Linked DNA regions of Diceros bicornis minor. Each later gene encodes a partner of the first gene's protein in a complex. Links are inferred from orthologs where the notes say so. Each region holds a gene or a part of one and is shown on either strand. Other genes may lie near its edges.

What was found.
Region 2: the proteins of SLF2 (region 1) and SIMC1 are in contact, whole or in part, in a cryo-EM structure (PDB 7T5P), measured with the Homo sapiens proteins. The link is inferred for Diceros bicornis minor from reciprocal best matches to the Homo sapiens genes SLF2 and SIMC1. Residues at the interface, in NP_060591.3 of Homo sapiens: His738, Val772, Leu775, Lys778, Asp783, Phe786, Gln790, Gly791, Phe792, Thr794, Ser795, Ala796, Tyr797, His798, Tyr799, Cys820, Ile821, Gln825, Ser828, Met831, Glu832, Ile835, Arg836, Asp838, Thr839, Ser841, Asp842, Ser843, Pro847, Lys919; in NP_001295125.1 of Homo sapiens: Tyr426, Arg428, Leu431, Lys435, Leu438, Pro440, Val442, His443, His444, Leu445, Phe447, Gln448, Arg470, Arg471, Phe490, Asp493, Pro497, Val521, Asp522, Lys525, Glu526, Tyr528, Met529, Met532, Lys533, Gln536, Leu537, Arg571, Asn658, Gln661.

The regions. Positions count from the first base shown.
Region 1 is NC_080745.1:66,117,016-66,132,032, forward strand, and holds the start of SLF2 (SMC5-SMC6 complex localization factor protein 2), read left to right. Parts: upstream 1-9,075; 5' UTR 9,076-9,211; coding exon 9,212-9,351; intron 9,352-11,923; coding exon 11,924-11,967; intron 11,968-12,472; coding exon 12,473-13,200; intron 13,201-14,566; coding exon 14,567-14,624; intron 14,625-15,017. UniProt on the Homo sapiens protein: Plays a role in the DNA damage response (DDR) pathway by regulating postreplication repair of UV-damaged DNA and genomic stability maintenance.
Region 2 is NC_080740.1:89,505,845-89,521,146, reverse strand, and holds the start of SIMC1 (SUMO-interacting motif-containing protein 1), read right to left. Parts: upstream 7,989-15,302; 5' UTR 7,921-7,988; coding exon 7,792-7,920; intron 1-7,791.

The DNA.
Region 1 (15,017 bases):
GCACAAAGAAACGTGTTCAGAGATATCCATGACAGCATTGTTTGTAACGGACAAATAAAATTTGGCATGTGAACTGCATATATAAATAAAATGTACAAAAATAAATGTATATGTAAAAATAAATGTATATGTAAAAATCAATGTATACAAAAATAAATGTTATAAAAATAAAAATAAAATATCTTTAAAAAACGTATACAAAATAATCCGATAAATTCTTTATGACTAGATACACATGTATGTAAAAAATGAGGAATCTGAGGCATGGAGAACGTGTGGACTTGAAAAGCACAATAGTAGGGGGAGGCAAATTGAACTGGGGTGTCAGTTAAAAAGGACTTAGCCACTGCTGTAATGTTTTATTATAAAAACAAAAAGACCAGAAAAGAGGAGAAGTAACTGGACAAAATGTTAACAGCTGTGAGTTTGGAGTGGTGAATATGTGTTTGTAATATTATTATTTGTATTTGTCTATATCTTTTACATTTCTAAAAAGAATGAAATATGGGTGTGCGTGCATGTATTTTTAAGAGAGAATAAAGGAAACACACCAATTAGAATGGCTAAATTTTTTAAATAATAAAAATATTAATTTCTAGCAAAATGTGGAGCAACAGGAACTCTCATTCATTTCTGGTGGGAATACAAAATGGTAGAGCCAATTTGAAAGTTAGTTTGGTCGTTTCTTACAAAGCAAAACAGTCTTACCATATAATCCAGCAATTGCACTTAAAGATATTTACCCAACTGACTTAAAAATTTATGCCCACACAAAAAACTCCACATGAATGTTTTCAGCAGCTTTATTCAGAATTGTCCCAAACTAGAAGGAACTAATATGTTCTTCAGTAGGTGAATGGATAAACTGTAGTGAATCTATACAATGGAATACTATTTAGTAATAAAAAGGAATGAGCTATGTGTTTTTAAAAAAGAGAGAGAGAGAAGAAAGGATACAAGTGATATTTAGGGTATAAAATCACTAAGATTTGGTGACTGATAACAGGTGGATGCTGAGGGTGACAGAGGGGTGGGGTTAGTAGGACTCCCAGGTTTCTGGCTCGGGTGACAGGTGAGGGGAGATGATGACACCATTCACTGAGATAAGAAGTATAGGAGGAGAGAGCATCAAATTCAGAGGTTAGGGGGGGAAGATAACAAGTTATGTTTAAGACGCATTGAGTTTGAGAACCTAACAGATGTTTGTATTACCAAATCCTTTGTCAGGTAACATAACTTAATGGCTGCTACAGTGCCCACAAGTAGGAACCAGGTAGAGGTGTCAGTGATGAGGTCCTTTGGAAGGGAGATGAAGGAGAAATGAGCAAAGGCTAACAGAAATACCAGAGGCTATCTGGCAAGGTCTTCATTGAAAACAATTACTCTAACAGTGTAACTTTTCATCTAAAACCATTGGTCCTTTTATTTTAAGATAGATAGATAGATACAGAGATATATGTTTCTTTGGAAAAGTAATATATGAACGTGGTAAAAATATAAATTTCACAAATAGGGGAAAACTTCTCTCCAGAGGCAACCACTGTTATGAGCTGCTTTACCTATGATCAAGCCAGACACTTATAAGGACCAATGGCCAATGTCTGTCAAAAATATAAAATGTGGGGCTGGCCTAGTGGTGTAGTGGTTAAGTTCATGCATTCCGCTTTGGCAGCCCAGGGTTCGTAAGTTCAGATCCCAGATGTGGACCTACCCACCGCTCATCGAGCCATGCTGTGGCTGCGTCCCACATATAAAATAGAGGAAGATTGGCACAGATGTTAGTTCAGGGACAATCTTCCTCAAGCAAAAAGAGAAAGATTGGCAACAGATGTTAGCTCAGGGCCCATCTTCCTCACCAAAAAAATAATATATATATATATATACACTAAATTTATTCATATATATTTATATATACATATGAAATGTACATGTTCTTTGACCCAGGATTCCCTTCCCAATATATCTTTGAGATGTACTTCTATGTTCACAAAGATGGATATATAAAGGTATTCATTGCAGCACTGTCAGCAGCATAAGAATGAAAGGGAACTAACTATTCCAGCAATAGGGACTACTTAAGTAAATTATGGCGCATCCCTACAGTAGAATACTATGCTGCAGTTAGAAGTCACTTGGAAAGCACAGCATCCTTCCAGAGATAGTCTTGGCATATACACGCACATAACCCCTTTTATTTATACAAACAATAACAATATATGTATACATTGTAGCATATACTGTTCTGCAACTTAATTTTTTCATTTACTATATCTTAGAGATTATTCCATACCAGTTTATATTGTTAACACGTGTCAAGAGTTCAGCTACACTAACATTGCTGCCTCGGCATCTATTTTTTGTGTGGCTAAGCAGCCTGCAGGGGCCTTGACCTGACACTAGCCCTCCCAAGTGCATGCCTAGATAACAACTTGCAGAGTCACAAGTAAATGTAACTTTCTGATATAACTCCTGGAACAGCCCTTGTGGTCAACAGTCTCACCCTGCCTGCCAGGGCCTTTTTCTTGTGCACTCCTTAATAAGACCCCTGCAGAGCTTACCAAAACCTGGCTCTTTTTGGTTTGAATTGATGAAGCTTTAGTCCAGTTACCCTGAAGCACTCCATCCATGGACCCTAGTAAAGCCATGTGCCCCAGGTCCTGCAGCTATCTCTCTGCCTGCACCCTGCCTTGAACTCCCCATGTGGCCCCTCAAGGCATACCATGTACTTTCTCCAGGACCTGTGAGTAATAAACTTCTCTATTTCAATTTCCCTTGTGGTCTTTTGTTGACCGTGGGCTCACCACCCAACATCCCACGGCTCTACTTAACAAATGTTAATTTAACGAAGTCACAGTAACAAGTAACAATAGCTAAACCATATACTTATTATATGCCAGTCACTGTTCTAAGAGCTTTACTTGTATTAACTTATTTAAAACTCACAAAAATTTATGAGGCAGGTACTATCATCATCTCCTTTTACAGATGAGGACAGTAGCACAGAGAGGTTAGGTAACTTGCCCAAGGTCACAAATCTGCTAAATGGCAGAGCTGGAATCTGAACCCAGGCAGTAGGACCCTAGGGCCTGCACATTTAACCACAACACATCCTGTATATCTAACTCAGACTTCCTAACTGCAGTATTGTATGGATGTGACATAATTTATTAACTAGTCCTCTATTGCTGGACTAGTTAGTTCCCTTTCAGTCTTTTGCTACTGACAGTGCTGCAATGAATACCGTTATAGATCTGTCTCTGTACATTAGAAGGGGAATTGCTGGATCAAAGGATATGCACATTTTATATTTTTGATACATACCAGCATTTGGTCCTTTTCAATGCCCATAGATCTTTTTTTTTTTTTTTCTTTCTGCTGGGAAAGATTCGCCCTGAGCTAACATCTGTTGCCAATCTTCTTCTCTTTCTTTTTCCCCCCAAAGCCCCCGTACATAGTTGTATATTCCAGTTGTAAGTCCTTCTATTCTCCTACGTGAGCCACCACCACAGCATGGCTACTGACAGACAAGTGGTGTGGTTCTACACCCCAGAACAAAACCCAGGCCACCAAAGTGGAGTGCACTGAACTTGAACCACTGGGCCATCAGGGCTGGATTGTTAAATGCCCGCAGGTCTTGATCAGCAATTTCTTTCACTAAGAACGCCTGAGTGAGAATCCTGCCTACTCCCTGTAACACTCCTCTGAACACCAAAAGCACTCATTCTTTGCAATTCTTTTGGTTCCAAGAGACATTCCCTTTAAGAGAGCATAATCTCACAGAAGTATAGAAACAAATGTGAGGGTACATAACAAAACATCTAGGCAGCTCAACTAGGAGGCTGCAGGTTCCTCCTGCAGGTCTGTGTCGTGTTCCCCCCAACCACTCCTGGGGTTTGACGCTGAAAGAAGGGAGGAAACACTGGGCCTACACTCCCACATAGAAACTATGGCCTGGAGATGCTGTCCCCATTTAATGGGGAATGTGCCCTCCGGTTCTCCCACAGTCCACCTCTCTGCTCACTGAGGCTGAGTTCCAGGTACCATTTATCATCATTCTTGTGTAAACTGAGCAAACACCACCATTTCCTAATTTGTAGGAATGTGGTGAAGATTAAATGGTTCAGTGATCATAAAGTGCTCAGAACAGTGCCTGACCCTGGTAAGACCCAATAGGTATTTGCCATCATTGTCATTGTTGTTGTTAAGAAATATTTCTCTGATCTCAACTCTCCGTAAAAGATAGGGAAATGGACCTGATTCACATACCTTTATTATCTACCTAGGCCCTGTTGGCATGAGCATGAGACCCCTCTTGGGATGTCTTGAGGCCAGAAATCTAGAATTGTGTGTGAAATCTCTTGATTTTCAAATGTTGCCCCACATCTTTAAAAAACTCTTTGGGAACTAAAAGAAACACATCTTCAGCAGGCCGTCTTATCATGCCTCACATAGAGGTTCAGTATTTTGGTGTTGTGGAAATTTACAGCTTAAGGGTAGTGGTGGTAGGAAATGACTCTGAAGAATCAGGTCAGAGCCCAGTGAAGAAAGGACGTATGGGTCATGATAGGTGTGTTGAATTCTGGGAAGAGTATTGCAAATGTCTGAGATTAAATGTATTATTCCCAGCAGACTCTCTCCAGTTCCAGGGTAGTGGGGTTTTATGTGAGGGGCAGGTTGGACAAGAGATATAAGATCTTTATCCTTTTTTGCATCATTCTCCCCTCTCTCTCATTTCTCACTCACAGTCCCTACATTACTGAGGACAGGGCAGGACCTGACAGGGCCACCGCAACTACTCTTCCCCATCTAGAAGCAATTATAGCATGGGAGGGGTAAAGGCAAGCTTCTTTGGAGAAACAGTCTGCCTCCTTCTACAAGTCTCTCCCACTCCTGGAGGGTATGGCATTAAAAGAGCATAAGGAGAGCCTGAGTTATGTCTCTCCCACCCTCCCCACCAGTAGGAGTGACCAAAGGAAGCCCATCTCTTTTGCCCCAAACAGCTTCTGCTGTTTAATGCCACTGATACACAGAAGTGTGAAATATGAATACAGATTACAGCAACGACTTTCAAATGTTTCGACTACTGCCTCTGACAGAGGCCACAGAATATATCTACATATATATACATCACAGTATATGTACATCACTACCGTATAAAATATATATACAACTGAAGAAGTAAGTTTTGCAAAACAACACATACCCATATACTATGTGCAGTACACCAATATTGTCTATTCTATTCTTTTTTTTTTTTTCCAATGTGGTCTGTGGCCCATTATACCAATTTTAAAACCCTCTAATAGGTTGCTAACCATGTGTAAAAAACACCTGATTACAGGCTGGAGTCCCTAAAACCAATATTTCCCAAAGAGTCTCTTATATTTCAGATGTACGAGTAATATCTATCCCTACCACCACTAGTAAACAAGATGACTCTAGAAGAAATGTGGCAATATTTTTTTTCTAGTTATTATTAGTTTCTACACACCTTCCATTTGGCAAGTTATCACTTTCCAAGTGATACTGATTTTCCACTTACGGAAATGATTTTAAGTTTTCATCTAAAAATGTATTTAAGTTTAAAAAGTGATTTAAAGAAAAATATTAAGTAAATAATAGTATAGGAAATATTCAGGTATGTCAAAAATCATAAATACATTAGTCATGTTCTAAAGTGTGGGAAACATTATCTTGCACCATTCCATAATGAAATAACAAGAAACTTACTTTCCTTTAACATCAGATCTGCTTTTGCAGTTTTACTAATTACTCCCAGGAAGTTTAGGTTACATAACATTACTTTATGTTACACTTGGCTTTCCCCCAGCAACCCCTTAAAACCAAGCCAGTGCGTTTTCCAAGCACTTGTAGGGCAGTTTTGAGTTCGGCATCCATTTGCAAAGTAATTTGTGCAGACCTTGAGACTCTGGAGCTTGCCTTCCCTTCTTAACATCATCACGTGGTCCGTCTTTCTCTGTTAGGCTTTCAAGTTAATTATTTCCTGTTTCTCTGAGTCTATTCCTTATCCCCCTTCCCAGGTGACCCTCTACCCTCCCCTCCACACACACACTCTTGGCCAAAGGCAGGCTGCTCTGCAGCAAACCCATCTTTGTCTCCCCCCCGCCCTAGAGCACCCTCCAACAAAAGCCTTGGAGTTTATAGCAATCACAGAGCAAAAGTGCGTCATTACTGCAGAATCAGAAGTTACTTTTAGAGTTCCCTGCATTTTAGTAACATTCTTTGTAACTTATTAATCTTTTGTTCTCTTAGTCCCTGCCTGCTAAGGTACTCTGCCAGACAATCTGCCCAAGTTGTTTTCTCTCTTGGTGACTGCTTGCGATCTCTGGCATCAGTTATACCGCCACTCCTCTCAGGACTCCCACGGTGGCCTTGAGGCTCCCAGCAAACCTGATCTGTCCTTCACGTAACATTGTTTCCGCTGCTGCTGCATCCCTTCCCATCAAGGCTAGAGTTGGCGCTCCTATTGTCTTTAACAACTCAGGGTGCTAAACTAGGTACTATGGTACTACCCCATAGTAGCTTCATGCATAGAAGCCACTCCATCTCAGTGGTCTTTGCTTCCTGCTCCCCAGGCCCAGAAATCTTCTCAAACTAGCCTTTTCTGGTCATCTGACCTTAATTTCTCCAAATTATTTTTCCAATCCTGGCTGAAGTTTTTGTCTTGTCTCTAATTCAGTCTTGTCTACTTTATCCATCATCCTCTCCTTCTAGCCCCACCCCAGTTTTTCTCTCCGCTCGTCTCCCCACGTGCAAATACCTGAGCTCTTTAACATCTTTCACCTAGTGTACAGCTTCCTGGCCATCTATTTCTGGCCCACTAAAAATTAACGTGTAAAAAGCTCTTACATTAACCATGTGTGTGTGTATGTGTGTGTGGTGCACATATATATATACACACACATTCAAAGTGGGAAAAGGGGTATAAACACAAAATAGACTGTCCAACACTCTGGGGGGAAAAGCCTTAGAGGCTCCCCGCAATTCTGGTTAGTATGTTGAGCATATTTTACCATGCAACCCAAATCTGTATCATTTTCAAACGCAGCTTAAACAAAGAAGAGCCTTGATACTGAGGATTTAGATAACTACTTCCCTGTTAAGAAGAGATTTTTAAAATTGTGTTTTCATTATGCCTCCATCTCCATTTATTGATCAAGGGATTTCTTGCCTCACTTAACTCCATAATCTGTTGCTCAGATTAAGAAAATGTGAAAACCATTGTTTGGCAGCATGACTACAGACTTTAAAGTGGTATCTTGGATGCTGGATGATTCAAATACTATAATCCAAGAAAAGCAACTAATTGATCATGCGGAACATGTTTTTATGCATTACTCTTTTTTATGGACTGAGCATGCAATGAAACGAATCAGATTAAATGTTTTGTAGATGTGCTGTTATAGAAGCAGGAATTTACTAGTGTGGAAACATCCAGCAGAAAGCTCTAATACAAGAGATAGGAAATAATATATGTAAAAAGCCCTTAATAAACAAACGTTTAAGTTATTATTTATTCAACACATTTTGAGCATCTATTACGGTCTATGTAAGGAACAATGGTAGATACAGTAACTTCTCAGTTATTAGGAACAGAAAATACCTCTTATTTTAGTATTTCCTTTCTCGCATCACTACTACCCAGGATATAGCTGTGCATATATGCTTTTTGGATGAATGAGAGACCTGTATGTTCACTGTTTACCTTCTACCCTCCACTTTGCCACCTTGTTGGCCATTTTATTCCTCATTAATTCTTCCTCCTGAGGGCTAAAAGGGAAGGAAAGGAGGTAAACTTCAGGTCAGTCAGGCATGCTTAGCTACGGAAGCAGTTAAATCTCAGTACAATAAACTTTAAAGACCTGTCTAAATTCTTTTGTGTCATTTAAGATTTTGTTCCATCCAACTGATTGAACAGGCCTGCCAATTAAAGCTTGGACATCCATGAGATTGATATTTTGGTTAATAGTTACTATAACAGTATCTGACCTGTCTCTGGAAGACCTTGCAGTAAGTTCAAGTGTAAGAGTCTGTCTAAAGAACTAAGAAAAGGGAACACTAATTTGCTCAGTACTTATTACACAAGAGACTCTGAACTGTGCAGTTTACATTGCTTAACTCTTTTATGGTTTACAATTACCCAGAAAAGTAGAATACCCATTTTATAGATGTGGAAACTGAGGCTCAGAGATACTCTGATCAGTCTTTGTAAGGAAAACCCTGGCTAACAGCCTCCAGAGCACAACCCCTTTACAAAGGAAGATTGGAGACTGCTGTTGGCTTTCACTAGTCTATGTGGTCCACACTTATACATGAGCAATTGAAAGCTGACCCTATGTTCCTTTCAAAAATCTCCAAGGAATCTGGCTGCAGAGACTTCATGGATAACTTGTTTCAGCAGCTGAGAAACAAAATGCTTTTGTGGAATCAAAACAGTCTTTATTTCAAGGGTTTTTTTGGGTTTTTTTTCCTTCTAAAAAGAGAAAAAGAATCCACTGCAGCACTTAACAAGAAATCTCACAGAATGGACAAGTCTTCAAATTGGGCCGTGCAGACCACCGAGGAAATGGTGACAGCATTAGGGCACTTCGGCCTAAGATGTTAAGGACACGATGTAATGAACAGCTGGGGATTTCTGAGGCACGATTGTGTGACACAGGAAGCCCAACTGTTGGCCATCCTCGCTGAGGGCAGCTGCTGGGTTCGGGTTTGCTTCTGCAAACCTCGCCCCTTGCCCTTGACCAGGCGGGTGTCGCCAGCTGCCGCAGCGCCCACGGCAACCCGCGCCTTCCCGCCCTCGCGCACCGGCCAAGACAGAGGCGGCCAGGACGCGGCGGCGCGCGGCCCCCAGCGCACGTGACGGGAGGGCAGTTTTCCTTCCTCCCTCCCCCTTCCCGAAACCCCGCCTTCCCCTGAAAGGCTGCGGCTTTCTATTGCTCCACTACTGGAATGACCGCCACGCCAGCCAATCAGAACAGACTCTTCTAGCAAGACCCGCCCCCTGTTGGTCCTCGGGTTCCTTCCCGCTCACACAGGAGTCATTTCCGAAGAGAGGGAACCGCCATGAAGAGAGAAGGGGGTGCCGCCCACCTCTGCTCCGACAGCCTCCCCGAGTCCCAGCAGCAAGACGGCAACCACGCACCCAACTTCTCCAGCCACAGCTCATGCCGCCGTCGCCAGCGGCGCCGACATGACAAGGCGCTGCATGTCCGCTAGGCCAGGTTTCCCCTCATCCCCAGCCCCGGGGTCGTCGCCCCCGCGCTGCCATCTGAGACCCGGTAGTACCGCCCCTGCTGCAGCGGGAAAGAGAACAGAGAGTCCTGGGGACAGGTACCGTGCAGAGGGCTTGAGGAGGGGCCGGGTCGCGGGGGCAAGGGTATGAGGGAGGACTGCGGACGGCCGCTTTTCCAGTTCCCGCCATCCTCTGCGAGCTCGGGCCTCGGCGTTCCGGGCCTGGCAAACCCCTGCCCCGCCTCCGCGCGGGGGCTTCTGGGAGTTCGAGTTTCCTTCTCGTAGTTGGGACGCTGTTCTCGGTCTAATGACCACAGCCGGGACGGCTACCGAGAACTGCCTTAGGTAGAACGTGGTTCTTGTCCCGGGCGATAGCTGGACCGGGGGCCCTAACTGCTGAATGCATATTTAGGTGGTTTTCTGTACGTTGTCAGTTGTACTGAGCCTAGTGGTTGAATAATAGAAACCTTTTTTGTATTATGGGTGAAATTACATAAGAGGTGATGAGGAAAACCCTTCTACGAATTACTGTATAGTCCACTATACACGGTACGCATAGTTAAAAGAACATGCAGATTTGGAATGTGGTATGTTTTCTCCTTCGGTAACTTGACGCCTCTCCGAGAGGCCAGTTTTTTTTGTACAGATTTTGCGGGAGCTATGTAATGAGATGGGGAGTTTCATCAAATGACATCCTCTGACAATAAAACATGTTTAAATTCTCTATGCACTTGGTACTGTCTTTTTTATTTTAAGTTTAAAACTTTGTAACATAAGTTTAAGACTAAATTTATCTTCTAATATTGTGGTTCAGGTCCGCAGTCCCTTATCTTAATTCTGAAAGCCAGAAAGCTATGAAAACCAAAAGTTTTCAGTAAGTTTGGCACCACATCTTACCTGGCAGCCAAACCTGACTAGAACTAATGGAAGACTGTATATGGTCTTTATCCCATTAAGTGTCAGTGCTCATAAGTTTTGCTTACGGGGTGCAGTGTTAGACCCCACTGGGGATTTTACATAATGCATCTAAGAAACCCCCATTCCAAAATCCAGTAAATTCAGAATTCTAAAACACATTTGGCCCCAAAAGTTTCAGATAAGGGTTTATGAGCTGTTACAAATAATTTTTTTAACTAGTTACAAATATAAGTAATGTACATTTCTGTACATATGAACTTAGGGAACTGTTCCTTCTTGAAAGTTACATTCATGCTTATTTTACAGATTTCTTGTATGTTTTATCCAAAACCATTTTTTCCTCTGCTGTATTAATGGAAAAGGAGCCTGGGATCTAATATTTTAGGAGAGAGATAGTGTTACTTTTAGTAATTAATGTAAAAAATAGTATTATCTTGTGTGGAATTAATTAGCTGCTGCTTAATCCTCTCCTATCTCACCTTCCTCAACCAATAACTGAAGGGCATCATCCTTCTCCCCTTTGCAGAACCTCTAGCGTTTCCTCATTTACTCTCTCATGGAGTTAATTTGATATAATTTATTTTCTGAAAACAAAGCATAGATTCTTCCTTAGCCTGTCACTCCTATTCATTTCATAACCACTTAGCTTTTCTAACAACATCTCAAACAAACGTTGTGGACTCTGAGTAAACCATCCGAGATGGGCGTTGCTCTTCTAATGTTACCAGTAGAGTGTACAAAATGTGGAAGGGACTTCAACCTTCAAGGGACTTCGATTGTTCTTTTCTCTGAGTGTTTCGTGGTGGGTAAATGTTTAGGGAACCTCATAGTCTACCGTTTATTGTCTTTCAGTAAAAGGAATACTAGCAAAATTTGCCCGAAAGTTAATTTTTTGCTCTACATGTAATAACATCCCTCTTTATGCATCTGAAAAATTAAATACATGAACAAATCAGAATACAAACTCTGGTAATATGGTCCTATTGCACTTTGTGTCCACTGTAGGGTGCAGAAAGCCTTGAAAATTAAAAGAATTTGGTTTTTGTTCTTGTTAACTTTCTTCTTTTTCTCTTTGTTTTCCCCAGGCAATGCATTATTTTTGTAAATATCTTAAGAATTCTTAGGTAAAAAGTTAAGATTTTGAAACACTGCTTATTTAGTTGTGAAGACTCATTCCAATTTCTGCTGTTACTTGGATTAACATCTCACTGTAGTGTATAAAGAGGGTAGTATAAGCTTAGTACTTGATCCTTTCTGCGTTTTGCCCAGCACACTCTTCAGCTGCCTCCCCAAAACCGGCCAAATCACTCGTATTGCCATTCTACCATCTAATCTTGTTATGAGTTTGCAGCAAACATCTATTGAGCATTATTTTGTACCAGTCACTGGAGATATGAAGGAATAGGATCAGATCCCCTCAATATCTTTTATTCTACTGTGTGACCGCAAGCTTTTCAGTCCTATGAAGCACTCTCCCACTTCCCTGGATCCATACTCCTATCTTATCATTTTAGTACTATAGATTATATAAACCTCAGTTGTTCTTTTATAAATTTACTCCTACAATGAATTATATTTTCAATTTTTTATAATCAGCTTAGCAAAGCATTATTGCCATTGTCAGAACTTGATTAAACCAGATAGTGAAATCCAGCCTATAGTCTATAAATCTACTAGTATTCTCCACTTAATCTGAAATAAGGTTTTAATATTTGCGTATGTGATACCCTATTAGTTATGCTTTTATTTTCAGGAAGCAGTCAATTATAGATTTCTTCAAACCAGCCTCAAAACAAGGTATGGATACTACTAATGCATTTTTTGTGGCATCTTTTGGGGAGGGAGATGGATTCAGTTTTTAAATCTACTCTAAATTCTTATTAATTTGATTAAACGTGTTGAAAATTGAAAATACAGTGAAGATGCAGTGTTTTTTACAAGGATAAACAAGTTCTAAACATCATGAAGAAACTCTTTGCTGTTATGCTTTCTTATATTTATTATTCCAGTCAATAATGTTCATAATGCATACTATTTTGATCCTCTAATACAATAACTTCATAAATGGAGCCATGGGGAGCTTACATGATGTAGCAAAAGGGAGCTTTATGAAAGTAAGGCTATTAACAAATAAACCATGTCTTAATTTCTCCCCCCCATAAAATGTATCATTTAAATATTGATTTGAAAATTTTTGTGATAGTATTTTAAATATTAATAATTGCAATATTTATACACAATGTAATAGTTTGTGTTATTTTTAATAACATGCAGTTTGTATGTGTTTTAATTGGCTCCTTAGACCGACATATGTTGGATTCTCCACAAAGATCAAGTATCAAATATGGAGGAAGTGGATTGTCCACCACTGGAACAGAGCAGTTTGAAAGGAAACTATCTTCACCGAAAGAATCTAAACCCAAAAGGATGCCATCAGAAAAGAGCCCTATTTTAGAGGCTTTCATGAAAGGTGTTAAAGAGCACCACAAAGATCGTGGTATACATGAGTCACATCGGCTTTATGTGTCACTAGCCACCAAATACCCAAAGACGGTCTTTGTTCCTCCTTCCTATCGCTCATCAAAAGAGATGAAGGCACTAAAGAAAAAACATCGCTCTCCAGAGAGAAGGAAGTCACTGATCATTCATGAAAATAGCAGGGAGAAGAATGATAGAGATCGAGGCAAGAACAATGCAGATTCCAAAAAGCAGGCCACGGTGACAGAAGCTGACATCTTCAAGAACAGCTCCAGAAGTCTTAGCAGCAGGGGCAGCCTATCCAGGCACCACCCAGGAGAAAGCCCACTGGGAGCTAAGTTCCAGTGGTCACTAGCTTGTTACTGCAAAGAAAGAGAACTAAAGAAGTTGAGAAGGGAGCAAATGGAGCAGAGAATCAACTCAGAAAATTCTCTCTCAGAAGCAAGCAATCTTTCCTTAAAATCCTCTAGTATAGGAAGAAAATGTAAACCTCGGCAGGAACAAAGTAAACAGAATGATGTCACACCCGGAAAGAGTAATCTTTCAAACCTGGTAAGTGCAGTAATTACTGAATTAGTTTGGGTACTGCTTTATCATATTTAAAATACTAAATGTAAAAATATTTAATAATTGGTGACATCATATTAGTATCTTTTGTTAAGGAAATACTGATACATAGTTTGTGTAGAAGCTGGTTTCATTAGGTTTCTTCCAGCTGTCCATGGAACTCAGTAAAGCAGTATTTCCTGCCCTTGATTTTTTCAGACCAAGAACAAAGATCTTTCGTAAACAGGAAAGTAAGCATTCTTTTTTTAAGACAGGTATAGTCATTTTTTTAATTGGGCTGTGCTGAAGGGAGATACTTGAGAAATGGAAAATCTAAAACAGCAGGAAATGGTTTAGCACAGAGGTTCTCAAAATGTGGTCCCTGGACTAGCAACGTCAACATCACCTGGGAACTTGTTAGAAATGCGGATTCTCAGGCTCCAGCCCAGACCCACTGAACCAGAAACTGTGGAAGTAGAGTCTAGCAATCTGCAATTAACAAGCCTTCCAGATGATTCTGATGCACTTTAAAGTTTGAGAATCAGTGGTTTAGATTATATATAAATCTTAAATAATTGAATATGGGTCTTAGAAAACTCAGAAGATGACTTAGAAAACCATCCAAGTACATCTTAACAACATCAGATTTCTCTTTTGAGAATAGACCAAACTTAAGTTAGCATAAAAGCTGTTCCTCTCTCCTGGAAAGTCAAGTTGTTAACTACGTCTGTTTCAAAGAGTTCTATATACAGAGCAAATAAAGGAAGATCAGATATCAAGAAAGTGCTATTTTGATAAGATGCCATGAGATTTTAAAACCAGATAGCCAAAAATAGACCAAACTATGATGTTCTAGGAGTGAATGGAGATTGTTGCATTGTATATTGCTGGAAAATATATTTGTAAACTCTAGAGTTCATTTGCAAGGAGTTTGGTGCCTTTAGCAGCAAGATTTACTAATGATCAATAGAGGTTAGTAATATTTGGTCCATTTTTGTAAGATCTCAGTATTTGGTGGTGCATTAGTACTTAAACAGAAGTATTGAAAAGTGAGTTGTATCCATTTGATTGGCAGATATTAGGCTTACTATTTCTTTATCAAAATAATAGTACGTTGCTCTAATATAATATTAATCTTGAATTATTAATATAAATCGCTTGCATTTATTGCCCTTCGTTTTTATGCTAAAACTTAAGAATTTAAAATATTTTGTTATAGGAGTTTGAATTTATCTTCAAATATAGGTACTTGCTTTATTCAGTCTAGAAATCTGTTTAAATGTTACGAAGAAAAGTTCACTTTTTTTACTGCCCCTAACTCCTAACTTATTTTTTCTCATTTTGCTAATATTTTTTCTCATTTTGCTAATAGGAAAATGGACATCTCTCAAGAAAAAGATCCTCTTCTGATTCATGGGAACCTGCTTCAGGTAGAATCAAAATTAAATTTATGAATTTTAAGATAAATTTACATCTTAATGGCTCTGTTTTTTAAAGCAAATTTGTTTAAATATGCAGTTTCCTTCCTAGCGGTGAATTGAGTATCTCAGATAGTAAAGAGTTTGGTAAAGTTATATTCAAAAGAAATAGTCCTTGCATTTATTATATGTAACCTGTGGTTTTTCTTGACTCTTCTCTGCCTTCTTCAAGAGTTCCTAACAATGTGTTTCTCATATTGGTAGTCATTGTTCTACTTCTGAATCCTTGGCTACATTAAGAAGCATAATCTTATATTCTTGAAATTGTGGACTAACTATCTGAGGTCTTGGAATTAGAGATGCTTTGTATAAGGTTGAAACATCATGATCCAAAACAGTGTCTCC
Region 2 (15,302 bases), on another chromosome or scaffold:
AATTAACTCAAAATGGATCAAAGACCTGAAGGTGAGACCTGAAACTATAAAATCCTGGTGGAAAATATAGGCAGTACACTACTTGCCATCAGCCATAAAGGGATCTTTTTGAATTCCATGTCTACTCAGACAAGGGAAACAAAAGAAAAAATAAACAAGTGGGACTACATCAGATTAAAGAACTTCTACAAGGCAAATGAAACCAGGATCAAAATGAATAGGGAACCCACCAGCTGGGAAAAAATATTTGCAAACCATATATCCAACAAGGGATTAATCTCCATAATATATAAAGAACTCACACAACTGAATAACAACAACAACAAAAAAAACCCAATCAAAAAATGGGCAGAGGGGGGCCGGCCCGGTGGCGCAAGCGGTTAAGTGCGCGCGCTCCGCTGCGGCGGCCCGGGGTTCGCTGGTTCGGATCCCGGGCGCGCACCGACGCACTGCTTGGTAAGCCATGCTGTGGCGGCGTCCCATATAAAGTGGAGGAAGATGGGCACGGATGTTAGCCCAGGGCCGTCTTCCTCAGCAAAAAAAGAGGAGGATTGGCGGATGTTAGCACAGGGCTGATCTCCTCACAAAAAAAAAAAAAAAAAAAAAAAAAAAAAAAAAAAACGGGCAGAGGAAATGAACAGACACTTCTCCAAAGAAAATATACAGATGGCCAATAGGCACATGAAAAGATGCTCAACATCACTAGTCATCAGGGAAATGCAAATCAAAACCACACTAAGATATCACCTTACACCTGTTAGAATGGCTATAATCACCAAGACAAAAAGCAACAAATGCTGGAGAGGCTGTGGAGAAACGGGAACCCTAATCCACTGCTGGTGGGAATGCAAACTGGTATAGCCTCTATGGAAAACAGTATGGAGATTCCTCAAAAAATTAAAAATTGAAATACCTTATGATCCAGCTATCCCACTACTGGATATCTACCCAAAAAACCTGAAATCAACAATCCAAAGAGGCTTATGCACCCCTACGTTCATCGCAGCATTATTCACTATAGCCAAGACACGGAAGCAACCCAAGTGTCCCTCGACTGATGACTGGATAAAGAAGATGTGGTATATATATACAATGGAATACTACTCAGCCATAAAGAAAGACAAAATCGTCCCATTTGCAACAACATGGATGGACCTGGAGGGTATTATGTTAAGTGAAATAAGCCAGAAAGAGAAAGACAAACAGGTCAGAATTTCACTCATATGTGGACGATAAACCAACACACGCACAGATAGAACCGTTTGGTGGTTACCAGGGGCGGGGGGGTGGGTGGGCACAAGGGGTGGAGGGATGCAGTTATATGGTGACTGATAAACAATAATGTACAACAAAAATTTCACAATACAAAAAAAAAGAAAGGTGGAGGGAAAAAAAAAGAAATAGGGCAATATAGTATATGGTAAATGTCAAGCACAATCAATGCCATATAAGATATTTCAGATGAATTAAAGAACTAAGTGCTAAGAATGAGATAGCAAAAAAACAATACTAAGGAAATAATAACGAAAATAATTTCAGGGCAGGAATGATCTTTCCAAACATAAAAAAAGGGGGGGAAAAAAAAGAAAACAGATGCACAAATGCATACATAAAAATGTAAAGTTAGATTAAGTAAAATACTACACAGTACAGATTTCTAAATTTAGTGTAATCCCAATTTTAAAAGTAGAAATTATTTGCAAATCGAAAAAAATGATTTTAAAGTTATTTGAAAGAATAAACATGCAATACCAGCCAGAAAAATTCTAAAAAAGAAGAGCAATGAAGAGTTTCCTCTGCTTACTATTAAAACAGCATGTACCCAGGGCAGAACAGAAAGTACACAAAAAGACAAAGAAATATATAAAAGTTTACCATTTGATAAAAATAATACTTCAAACCACTGGGTAAAAAGAATGGATAACTCAATAAATGATGTTGGGACAACTAGCTAACCATCTGGAGAGAAAAATATTGGATTACCATTTCCCTTTTTTCAAACTAATTCCAGGTGGATTAATGAATTAAACGTAAAAAATATTTTTATAATCTTGAGTGCAGAAAGCCTTTCTAAGCATGACAACAAAGACAGAAATCATAACTGAAAAGAGTGACGGAACTGACTACATAAAATTTTAAAAATTCTGTAAAGAAAATCAAAAGAAATCAAAAGTTGGGAAAAAATGTAACATGTATGATACAGGGGGCTGTATTAGTTTCCTAGTACAAATTACCACCAACTGGCTGGCTTAAAACAACAGAAACTTATTCTCTCATGGTTCTGGAAGCTTAGAAGTCCAAAATCAAGGTGTCTTGCAGGGCCATGCTCTGCAGGCTCTAGGGGAGAATCTGTTCCGTGCCTTTCTCTCGTCGCCAGCACTCTTTGGTATTCCTTGATTTGCAGCTGCACAACTTCCATCTTTGCTTCCATTGTCACCTGGCGTTCTCCCTCTGTCTTCATGTGGTCTTATAAGGACACCAGTCATATTGGATTAAGGGCCCACCCTACTCTGTATGACCTCATCTTCACTGATTACATCTGCAATGACCCTAGTGCCAAATAAGGTCACATTCTGTACTGGGGGTTAGGACTTCAACATATCTTTTTGGAGGACCCAATTCAACCCATAAAGACTCTTTAATATGTAAGTAAAATTTACAAACTAGTAAGAAAAATAACACCCCAATAGGACAAGAACAGGCAATTCACACACACACACACAATATACAGATCTCCCCAATAAACATGTGCAAGATGTCTGGCTGTACTACATGCTGAGCACACTTTGACCTCCAACCTTACTAGCTGCTCCTCCTCCCCTTGCCTTCACCCGGGCTGGGTGCTGGATGTTCTTCCTCTTGTAGACTCTCATGTTAGATGATCTCATCCACGTCAATGAGTTTACTACAACCTATGTGCTAATGACACCAAATTTGTGTCCCTATTCAGGACTTTGCCCCTGGCCTCCAAACTCAGCACAAATATCATACCTGGCATCTCCAGTTAGCTATCCCACAGGCATCTTAAATTTAACACCTTCAAAACAGAACTCTTGAGTCTTTCCTCCAACTCTGTTCTTCCCCAAGTCTTCTTCATTTCAATGAATGACACCAACATGCATCCAGTCACTCAGGCCAAAACCAGGGCACCATTCTTGATTCCTCCCTTTCTCTCACCTGTTGATTTTACTTCCTAAATATCTCCCACATCCCTCCAGTCTCCTAGCCTGCACCACTACTCTAGTCTAAGCTACAATTATCTCTGGTCTGGACTACTGTAGCGACATTCTAGACTGATCTCCCTGATTCCAATTTTGTCCCCTTACAGTAAGGTGACTATATTTCTGGTTTAGGACAGTTCCAGTTTTCACTTGTTGCTTGACAATTTCTCCAGTTAGCACCCCCTTTCATACACAAAAGGATTCCCATTTGGATGATCAATTATATTGTCACCTTACCTTACAGTCTTTTCTTCTCACAGTAGCTAGTCACCTTTCAAAAACATAAATCAGATCACATCATTCCCCTGCTTAAAACCCTTCAAAGATTTCTTATTACACAGAATAAAATCCAAATTCCTTATGTGGTCTGCAAGGTCCTATATTACCTAGCCCACCCACTTCTCATCTCTTCCAACTCTGTCCTTCACTCATTCCATTCCAGACCCATCTGCTTTTTGATTCTTCCAATAAGTCATGCCCAAACTCACTTCCAAGTCTTTGTTTTTGCTGCACCCTTTGCTGCTACCTTATTCCCCTAGATCTTCTCGTAACAAATCTGTTCTGTCATTTGGGTCTCAGACTAAATGTTAACTCTTCCAAGAGGCCTTCTTTGAAAACACAATCTAATGTTCCCAACCTCATCCATGTTATATTGTTCACTTATTTGTTTATTGCTTGTCTTTCCTCACTAGAATGTAGGTCCATTGTTATCTTGTTTACCTCTAGTCCCCAGGGTCAGAGCATGTGCTCAATAGTATTTATTGAAAAAATGAATCACAACCAAAGAAAAAAATTCAAACATGACAGCTCATAGAATATGGCTATCAAATCAGTAAAGATTCAAAGAATAAAAATGCCTTATTTTTCTTCCTAACACTCTGTATATCACCTGACAATACGTTTATGTGATTGTTTACTGTTTGCTTCTCCCCAGCTAAAATGAAATCTCCATGAGCGCAGGGACTTGGTTTTGTTCACAGCTGTATTCTCGGCACCTACAAGAGTACTTGGCATATAGTAAGTGTTCAATAAATATTTACAAAATAAATTGATGATATCTAGAGGTGACTAGGTAGTGGAGAAAGGGATATGGTGAAAATATAATTGATGCACAACTTCTGTAGGAAATTTGGCAACACATATCAAAAGCCCTTAAAGGGGGGCATACCTTTCGACTCAGCAATCTCACTTCTAAGAGGAACTTATCCTAAACAAACAAATGAACAAGGCTACAAAGATTATTTATAAGAGAATTCCTCACTAGGTTGTCTATAACAGAGAAAATTTAGAAACACCAGCATGATATCCATTAATAGGAGATTATAACATAATTATACATCTGTACAATAAAATACATTAAAAATATTGGTGAAGACGTATTTATTAGTGGAAATACGATACGATTAGTGGAAAGAGATAAAAAGCACATTACAAGAAAAAAGCAAGCTAAAAAAACCACATATATAGCAAGACTTCATTTTTCCAAAAACATGTATGCGGGGACACATGGGTATGTACGCAAGCACACATGCATTTACAGATAAAAGTTAGACAGACATACATCAAAATGTTAACATCGGGGCTGGCCCGGTGGCGCGTAGTGGTTGGGTTCTCGCATTCTGCTTTGGCGGCCTGGGGTTCGTGGGTTCGGATTCCGGGCGCAGGCCTGCACACGGCTTATGCTGTGGCAGGCGTCCCACATATAAAGTGGAAGAAGATGGGCATGGATATTAGCCCAGGGCCAATCCTCCTCAGCAAAAAGAGGAGGATTGGCAACAGATGTTAGCTCAGGGCTAATCTTCCTCACTCTCCCCCAAAAAAGTTAACATTGGTTATCTTGGGCTAGTGAGATTAAGGACAATTTTAATTTTCTTCTTTATACATTTCTAAATTTTTTCTAATAGCACAACCAAAATTAATTGACTATCTGAACATGTTTCGCTTTAATAAGTGGAAAAGAAAAAGCAATAAAGATTATCGAAAACAAAGACACACTTCATCAACTTAATGAAGACTAAAGCCCAGATTAAGAACCAGGAATTCAGAAATGTCAACTACAGTATTGGAGATGGCTTTCTGATTTCCTGAATTCAAGCAAGTTGTCTCCCCTTTAGAGCCAATATTTGTAAAAAAGAAAAAAAAAAAATCTAAAACTTGTTTCTTTTATTTCATTGCTTGCCAAGCTGAAGAAGGTCAGGCCTGGCTGAGAAACAACACAAAGTCTAACGAAAGCTATCATTTATGCTGGGCATTTTCCTTGCATTGCCTCATTAAAAACCTGGTCCTGCCAGATAGGTATTACTGTTCTCAAGTGCAAAAGCTGAGAGGGGTGACAGAACTTGCTAAAGTTCACACAGCTGCTATGGGGGGGGGGGGGGTGTCCTGATTTGAACAGAGGTCTCGCTGACCTCAGGGCCTTCAGGAAAGGATAGACTAAAGTGCTTTAGGCTTTATAACCATGCAAGTCTCTTAATGCCTCTGATCATTTACATGGTTATCCTACCACCATTATCTAATTTGCAAGAAAAATAAAAGAACAAGCCTGGAGTTTTTAGAAAACTGGAGTAAGTATCTGGAAAAGCAAGATTTACCTTGGGTACTACTCTCTGGAACTTGCCCCTCATTTCTCTTCAACTTGAAAAAGCTCAAGATCAAAATGCTTGGTTGGGTGGTCATAGAGGAGGGGAGCAGTTTGAGAGTGCACCCGTGTGTGCGTGACGGACCACAACAGACACAACAGACTGGGTTAAGGATGATATCTGTGCATCTGAAGAAGGAAGCTGGACCAGGATGAGGGAAGATGGACAAGACCTAGGAAGAAAGGAAGCCAGTAGGAAGGATGAAGTTAAAGAGGGACTAAAAGAATGGGCAATAGGAAAGAGGAGGAATCAGGAGGAAAGGCAGTTGAGTTATTCTGCAGTATTTTTTCCTTCCACCTTTTTCCTCTCTATACTCTTCCCTGATGATCTCAGCCACCATTAGGCCTTAGACGCTCCTTTCTATTTGGATGATTACCAAATCTCTCCAGTCCTGACTTTTCTCCAGAGATCAATTTCTTTGGGCTGGACACATCCACATACATTTCCCATTAGCACTTTAAATCCAGTAGGTCCAAACTGAATGCAGCATCCCCTCAACCTCAAGCCTGCTCTCCTCTAGTAGTACTCACTCTCAATTACCAAACATCCACCCGAACTGCTCTCTCTCCCATTCCTTCAACCATTCTTTCATCCAACAAATATTTATTGTGGCTCTACTACATCCCCCACACTGCCGCAGCACTGGGTACATCCATTCACTTGCCAAGTTGGGTCACTTCTACCTTGTCCACGTGTCCATCTCATCTAAATTGTTTACTCAGATTTATTGAGAATCTCTCTTGCTTGAACCATGGTAACAGGGCACTATAGGTTAATTGGTTTTGCATGCCATTCATTCTATAGTGACCACCTAGCATTTAGCACTACACCTGAGACACAGAAGGGGATCACAGAGGGGGCTTAGGGACTACAAACCGGCTGGGAAGGGGATTGGAGGAGCAGAAGCGAGGAGATTTGTCTTGAAGGAGGATTTGCATATGAAGAAAGGTGTTTTCCTTAAACTGTGCATTACAGAGCTATACAAATAACATCAGGGTGATAATTCTTTTATTTCTGGGGTGTGGCTCTGGCGGGCTGGGAAGATTGTTGGAAGTCTGATGTTGAGAGTCTTCTGAGAGACTCTCACCCGCCTCCCGCCCCCTGAGTACTCAATAGCCACTTGTTGGATATATCACCTTCTATGACAGGGACCACGGGGGTTGTGTTCTCCATTGTACCTCCCCTGCCTCCTAGAACATCTGGCTCACAGTAGAGATTCAATAAATATCTATGGAGGATTCTAGAAAGGCAGGAACCATAGATGTTTTATTCACTACCTCAGGAAGAAGGACAAAGACTTAAAGAACCTAAGGGAAAAAGAAATGGTGCAAGATGTTTCCCTCCCTATTCCTTTAGAGCTTGGTAAGTGTTTGCTAAGCGAAATAAATCAGCCTCCTGCACAACTCCGAAATCCAGCCCCTCGCTCGGCCGCCAGGCCCTGGAGCGCGGCCACCATCTGGCCCAGGCCCTGCTGCCCTCCCTCCTAGCCCGGACTCCTGTTACCTCCCTGCACACACGTGTACCCACCACAAGCCAAACAATTACACGTTCCTGCGTCCCTGCCTCGAGGTCTGGGGCTCCCCGAGGACCCGCTGTCCCGGACCCCCAGCCCCCGCCCCCACCAAGGCTCCGGCCTGAGACTGCCGCCTGCCGGGGGCTCCGGCACCCCCGCACCGGGCGCTTCCATGTGCTCGCCGCCGCTCTCCAGCCGCAGCCCGCTCGGCCTTGAGCGCGGAGCCCGGAGGCCTGGCCGCCCAGCCCGGGCCCGCCGCGCTCCTCCGGGCGGGGAGGCCGGGAAGGCGGCAAGGCGGGAAGCGGCTGCAGCTGTGAGGTGCCAGGGGGCGGGCGGCGGGGGCGCCGGGGCAGCGGGCCGAGCGGAGGCGGCGCTCTGGCCGCGGCGGGGCTCGGCGGACGGCGGCTCGCTCACTCACCACCGTCCGGCGGGGCAGCGCGCCGGGGGTCCGGGACAGGGCCCGGCGGAGCCTCCGCGGCCGGACCGAGCGGGCCGCCCCGGAGCTCTCGGAGCCGCTGTCGTCCGAGATCACGATGAAGTCCTCCATGACTGCGGGCCCCGGCCGAGCCAGCGCGCGGGCGGCCGGCGACCCAGGCGGCGGCGACGGCGGCGACTTCGGTTCCTACTGCTGAGGCTGCGGCGGCGGCGACAACCGGGGCCATCCCCCCCGGCCCCGCCCCCGGCCCCGCCCTCTCCCGAGCTCCGCCCCCCGGCGGCCTACGGCGGGCTGCGGGCGGCGGGAGGGTCAGGGTCCCGGTCACGTGCTTGGCGGTGGTACCCGTCTTCCTTTCCCGAGGAGGAAAAATGAGAGAGAGAATCAAGTTGGAGCCGGCTTGGGCCGTGTTGGGGGCGGGAGTGCCAGACGCTGAGGCCTCAAGGGCTTCCGCATCTGCTTCCGACTGACTGAAGTGTGAAGCGAGGTGTCAACAGGTCTCTCTGACTGAGCTGGGAGAGAGGGGCCCTTGAGGGTGGGGGACCTGGCCTCCTACTGACGAGGTAGAGAGGCCCAGACCTCTGACTGACGGGGTAGAGGGGACCCCGGCTGACTGAGGGCGGATGGCCTGGCCTCTGACTGACGGGGTAGAGGGGACCCCGACTGACTGAGGGTGGGTGCCCCTGCCCTTGACTGACTGAAGGTAGGTGTCCTGGCCTCTGGCCGAGTTGGGGGAGAGAGGCCCGGCTTCTTTGTGCACATGTGCAAGTACGTCTGTAGGATAAACTCCTAGAAGTGGAATTACTGGGTCAAAGGCAATGTTTCTGTTGTTGTTTCGATAAATGATACCAAATTGCTGTCGTAAGTTGTACCAATTTACAGTTTCACCAACGATCTGTGTCACTGAGGAATTTAAACTGTGAGATTTAGAGACTTGTTCAGTTGGTAGCAGAAACTGAAAAATGCAGGAGAGAATCCATGAGGTAGCAGACTCCGTGAATAATTAGATGTTATGAATGAGCAAAGTTAAAAAGATGAAAAAAGATATACTCAGTAGAGGGAGAAGTGGTAGGTGGTTGGTTGTGGGGCAGGAACATTAAAATCAAGATAGGATCTGTGTTACAACAAATGTGGGGTATTGACAAAATCCTGCTGCTCAGGCTCCAGCAACTTGGTGAAATGTTTTAACAGATCCAAAGGAAAATGTGTTTATTAGAAGGGGGATTGGTTCCTAAAGGAATAGTTATCAGGTGCTATCTAGCAGTGTCTAGTGCAGTGATTCTCAAACTTTAGTGAGCATCAGAATGACCCAAGAGACTTGTTTAAAACACAGATTGCTGGGCCCCAACCCAGAGTTTCAGATTCAGTAGTTATGAAGTGGGTCCCCAAAATTTGCATTTCTAGCAAGTTCCCAGGTGATGTTGATGCTGCTAATCTAGGGACCACACATTGGAAAGCACTGGTCTGGTGGACAGGGAGTATAGGGCCAATAGATTTCAGATGTTCTGGTCGAATGGCTGAAATCATCCTTGTGAAAGGATTCATTAAGTTGTCTTCACTAAGTGCCATTAAACATTTAGTTTATTGAACTCCCTGCTTCTTGAAACACTGTTTTCTCTGGGCTTCTGTGACTGCACCTCTCTTACCACTTCTTTTCAGTCTCCTTAGCTGACTCCTGCTCCCCTACCCACTCCTTAGATCTTGATGTTCCTCAGAGTTCTGACATAGGTCACACATTTCTCCCTACATAATCTCAACTGTTCCCATGGCTTTAATGATAATTTTTATGCTGATATCTCCCACAGATTTATCTCCAGCCCAGCCCTGTCCTCAAAGCTCCAGATGTATATATCCAAATGTCTATTGAATCTCAGAAGCATCTCCAATTGAATATGTCTCAAATTGAACTTACTCCCCACTTCCCCCCTAAAAAAGCCTGCTTTTCCTTCTGTGTTCTCTGTGTCAGTGAGTGGTGTTACCAATAGCCAGCAATTGCTCAAGTGAGAAATCTGAGCATTATGCTTGATGTCTACCTTTTTCTCATCAATAAGTCCTATTTTACCTCCTAAATATTTCTTGTATTCATTCACTTCTTTTGGCCTCTGCTGTTATGATTCTAGGCAAGTTAAGATCACCTCTGGCCCAGTCTACTGTAGTAGCTTCCTAGCCAGTCTTCCTGAACCTATTCTTGTCCTCTTTCATTTCTTCCTCCACCCTCAGCCAAAGTTATCTTTAAGAAAGTATGTAATCAAGCCCCCTTCAGTGCCTTCCTAATACCACTTAGTCTGTGCAGGCTGCCATTACAGAATACCGTGGACTAATGGCTTAAACAACAGAAATTCATTTTCTCACAGTTCTGGAGGCTGGGAAGTCCAAGATCAAGGTGCTGGTCAGTTCGGTTCCTGGTGAAGACTCTCTCCTTGGGTTGCAGATTTCTCATTACTTCCTCACATGGCCTTTCCCCAGTGGGTGAGAGAGATAAATCTCTTCTTCTTATAAGGCCCCTAGTCCCATCATGAAGGCCCCATCCTCAAGTTCTAATCCAACCTTAATTACCTCCCAAAGGCCCCATCTCCAAATACCATAACACTGGGGGTTAGAACTTCAATATGTGAATTTTGGCGGCATGCAAACATTTCACACTATAAACTTCTAAATATGAATATATATGTATTTTTGTAGATTATATAAAGATTATATTTATATATGTAACACATATATGTATATTTATAACGTATTTATATATGTAACATATAAGTATAACATTTCACTGTAAGTAAATTTTACCTTAAAAAAAAGAAATGGAAAAAATTTTGAACTCTATGATATGCATGCTGTAGTGTTAAGGTGTGAAGTGTACTGATGTCTGCAAGTTACTTTGAAATGCATCAGAAATAAGATGGATAGCAGCGGGCCCAGTCGTGTAGTGGTTAAGTTTGTGTGCTCCACTTCAGTGGCCTGGGGTTCATAGGTTTGGATCCCAGGTGCACACCTACATACCACTCATCAAGCCATGCTGTGATGGCATCCCACATACAAAATAGAGGAAGATTGGCACAGGTGTTAGCTCAGGGACAATATTCCTCAAGCAAAAATAAATAAAAAATAAGATGGATAAATGTATAGATGGATACATACAGGTAAAGCAAATATAACAAAATGCTAACATTGTCAAATCTGCATGGTAGTTATATGGGTGTTCATTTTTAACTTTTATGTATATTTGAATGTTTTCATATTACGTTGAGAAAAAATTTAAAATTAAGAAAATTAATTATGATTTTACCTTGATTTTAAAAAGTTAAAAAAGATTATAATGAACCTTGTGTACCTATCATCCAGCTTGAAGAATTATCAATCTTGTTCTACTTATGTTTCCGCCTACTCTCTCACCCTCACCTTCCTGAATTATTTTAAAGTAAATCGCAGACATCAAATTGTTTATTCTGTAGACATTTCAGTTTGTGTCTTTAAAAGATAAGAAATCTTCATTCAACAAAGTGTTGTTGAGCACATATGCTGTACTCAAGGGACACAATAGTGAACAACATGGACGTGGTCTCTGATCCATGGTGCTTATAATTTATGGGGAAGACAAAAAACTAGTAAATAATTATAAATTATGATAAGTATATAACCAGTTTGAGAAGTCTTAACTTTTGAGATATAAATATAAAACAATTTAATTTTTTCCCCAACAACTATTACCACCCACTCTAGAAATCCTCTTGCTCTCTGGATAGCAGATTCCCTTAAGAATCTCCTACTCTGGTCGCATAACTGTGCAGTCACTTTCAGTATCTAATACAGTCTCATTCCAAGTATTTTGATTTAGGCTGGCCGGTTCTAATCTTTAATCTCATGTTTAATTCATAGCTCTTCCTGTTCTGCTGGTGCAGGAGGACTTGTGGCTGCAACAGCTTAGTGGAGGAGGTGGTAATGTCGTTTTCCTTCTCTCTTCTTGGCTCTTGCTCCTCCCAAGTAGGGATGAAGAGGAGGGAGAAAGAATGTTCTCTGCAAGACTGTCCATGAAAAGTTGTCTATTCTTTTTCTGCTGGTTGTTGTTACTTCACTAACAGTTCTCCCAATGTGTCAGGAGTCCAGATGCCAGCTCTTTTATTTGGACTGGGCACATTATTGCTCTCTGGGGCTTCCCTTGTGCATTCCCTAACCTAGGAGAGGTCAGTCTCAACCCCCTTCTCAGACATCCCCACCAGTCCTTGCCAGGGGCAATCTAAAATATAGCCTTTTGTTGTTGGGGATCCTTGTCTGGAGGGTCTTCTTGGGGAGTGCTAGCAAGAGCCTTAAGCCTCAGCCACCTTCTGTACTCTCCAGTAGACTCACACATGAAGAATTTACACGCATGATTCAAGGAAGAAGCGAAGGGAGGCAGCTCCCGTCTTGGTGCCTCTCTCTCAGCACCAATTATCTCTCTCCTTCCTTCCTTCGCCCCCAGGGGCATCAGGGGCTTGTCCAGGTCAACGGTTTGGTGACTTTCAGACAAGTTCTCAGCTTGCGGAGTGAGGAGAAGAAAGTTTGCTGCACTTTAAACTTGTAGGAAGGGAATGAGGGAACAAGTTGAATGGCCCCCATCTTCTTCAGCTGGGGAGAGGTAATGGATGGTGGCCATCTACAGTAAGTAATGTTCATCCATGGATATATGAATGAATTGGAAAGAAATTCAAATATCTACTTTTGCAGAATTTATGATAAAGTGATTAATATTAGTAACTGACTTTCAATCATAAAAATAGTGATATGACTTTAGGAATATAACAGTGTTCTGACTGTATATATCTTTCTCATCAGCCATCCTGCCTGAAACTCAGGAAACCAGGGTCCTGGTTGTGTAATATGAGTACACTTGAAATGTACCTTGTCCTTATTTGGCAGCCCAGATGGATGAATACTGGCCCTGAAGTTGCTTTTCGTAAAACAGTAAGTAGTCTTGATTTTGTTTTCTTGCCTGTCCTGGATCTGTTTTGAAATATGCTGTTTACCCAAGACTTCCAAAATGATGGTGTCTTTTTCAGAAATTAGTATGTGTGTGTATTTTTCTTTTCGTTTTTTCTGGGTGACTTGTCTTAATTTTTTTCCGGATTTATTGAGATATAATTAACATATAATATTGTGTAAGTCTAAGGTATACAATGTGATGTTTTGATACAAGTACGTATTGCGAAATGTTTATCACAATAAGGTCTTTTACCTCACGTAGTTACCATTTTGTTGTTGTTATGGCGAGAACAGTAAAGCTCTGCTCTCACAGCAACTTTCAAGTTTACACTACAGCATTATTAACTATAGACATCACGCTGTATATTAGATCCCTGGAACTTATTTATCTTATAATTGCTAGTTTGTGCCATTTGACCAACATCATGACATTTCCCCGACTGCCTAGACCCTGGTAACGACTATTCTATTTTCTGTTTCTATGAGTTCGAAGTTTTTATACTCCACATATAAGTGAGATTATACAGTATTTCTCTTTCTCTGTCTGCATTATTTCACTTAGCATGATGCCTTCAAAGTCCATCCATGTTGTTGCAAATGGTAGGATTTTCTTCTTTTCTTTGGCTGAATAATATTTGTGTGTGTATTTTTCAAGATGACATTTCCTCATAGATTTATTCCCCTCAAATCATACATTAATTCCATGTAAACTGAGAGGCTAATGCAGTCATTTATTCATCCAATGAATACTGTATTTACTGAGTACCTACTAGGTGCCAGGCACTTTGTTAGGGGCTGGGGATGAAACAGTGAGTAAGACAACTGTGGTCTCTGTCCTCACAGATCTTAGCAGTGAAGGAGGTATTCCTAGTTTGTGAATGAAGAAAACAAATCCTAATCCCTTACTTTCTTTTTTAAAAATAATTTTTAATTAAAAATGTATACATAAAAATATGTGGAGATGCAAATTAAAACCACAGTGAGATGCCATTTCATGCTCATTAGGATGGCTATTTAAAAAAAAACAGAAAAGTTTTGGTGAGAATGTGGATAAATTGGAACTCTTGTGCATTGCTGGTGGGGATATAGAATGGTACAGCTTCTGTGGAGAACAGTTTGGCAGTTCCTCAAAAAGTTAGACATTACCATATGATCCAATGATTCTAGTCCTAGATATTTGCCCCAAAGCTCTGAAAGCAGGGACTCAAACAGATATTTATCCACAAATCTTTTTTTTTTTTTTTTTTATAATTTTATTTATTTATTTATTTATTTCCTCCAAAGCCCCAGTAGAGAGTTGTATGTCATAGCTGCACATCCTTCTAGTTGCTGTATGTGGGACGCGGCCTCAGCATGGCCGGAGAAGCCGTGCGTCAGTGCACGCCCAGGATCCGAACCTGGGCCGCCAGCAGCGGAGCGCGCACACTTAACCGCTAAGCCATGGCGCCGGCCCTATCCACAAATCTTCATAGCAGCATTATTCATGATAGCCAAAAGGTGGAAATAATCCAGGTGTTCATCAGCAGGTATATGGATAAACAAGATGGGATATATCCACACAGTGGAATTCTATTCAGCCTTAAGAAGGATGGAAATTATGACATAAGCTACAACATGGATGAAACGAAGACATTATGCTCAATGAAATAAGCCAGTCACAAAAGGACAAATATTGTATGATTCTACTTATGTGAGGTACCTAGAGTAGACAAATTCATAGAGACAGAAAATAGAATAGAGATTATCAGGGGTTGGGGGAAGGGAGAATGGGGAGTTATTTAATGGGTATAGAGTTTTTGTTTGGGATGATAAAAAGTTCTGGAAATAGTAGTGATGGTTGCACAATATTGTGATTGTCCTAATGCCGCTGAACTGTATATTTAAAAATGGTTATAGTGGTAAATTTTGTGTATATTTTACCACAACAAAAAAAGTGAATATTTTCCTTTTATTAAAAAATTAAAAATTATAGGCAAGGTTAAAGGCTCCTTTGACCACCTCCTCCATCCTGATTCCAATTACCCCTCTTCAGTGCTTCGCGTTTACTTCTCTAGAGCTTTTCTGTGTGTTTATCTATATTCATATATGCTTATCAAAAGGGTGTATATTTTTAGTTTTATCCAAAGAGCTTCAGTATGGAGATTTGAAACCATCATTTGCTGTAAAAATGTTCTAAGCAAGAGGGCTTCCCACTTATTAATGGGGATTTTTTTTGGTGGATATACATCTTTAAAAGGTTTTTTTCTTTCATTTTTCTTTCTTTCATTATATGGCAGGGTCAGTGCCTGCAGACCCGCGTTTGTTTATGCTAAAGCTAGCCAGCTCAGGTTTCTCCTCTGCCCTAGGGAACACTCTGTCCCCACTGCTGGATTCCAGGTACAGTCTCCCAGTTTCGGTTCACTCTTAGCTTTTCCACTGAGCTGCTTTAGTAGGCAGCCTCTCAGTGTATTTAACTTTATTTAAATAATTTTCTTATCCTTTCCCCATTTCCATCTCAGGTTCTAGTTTGCTGAGATATCAAGTAGCTTTCAAAGTCTTTA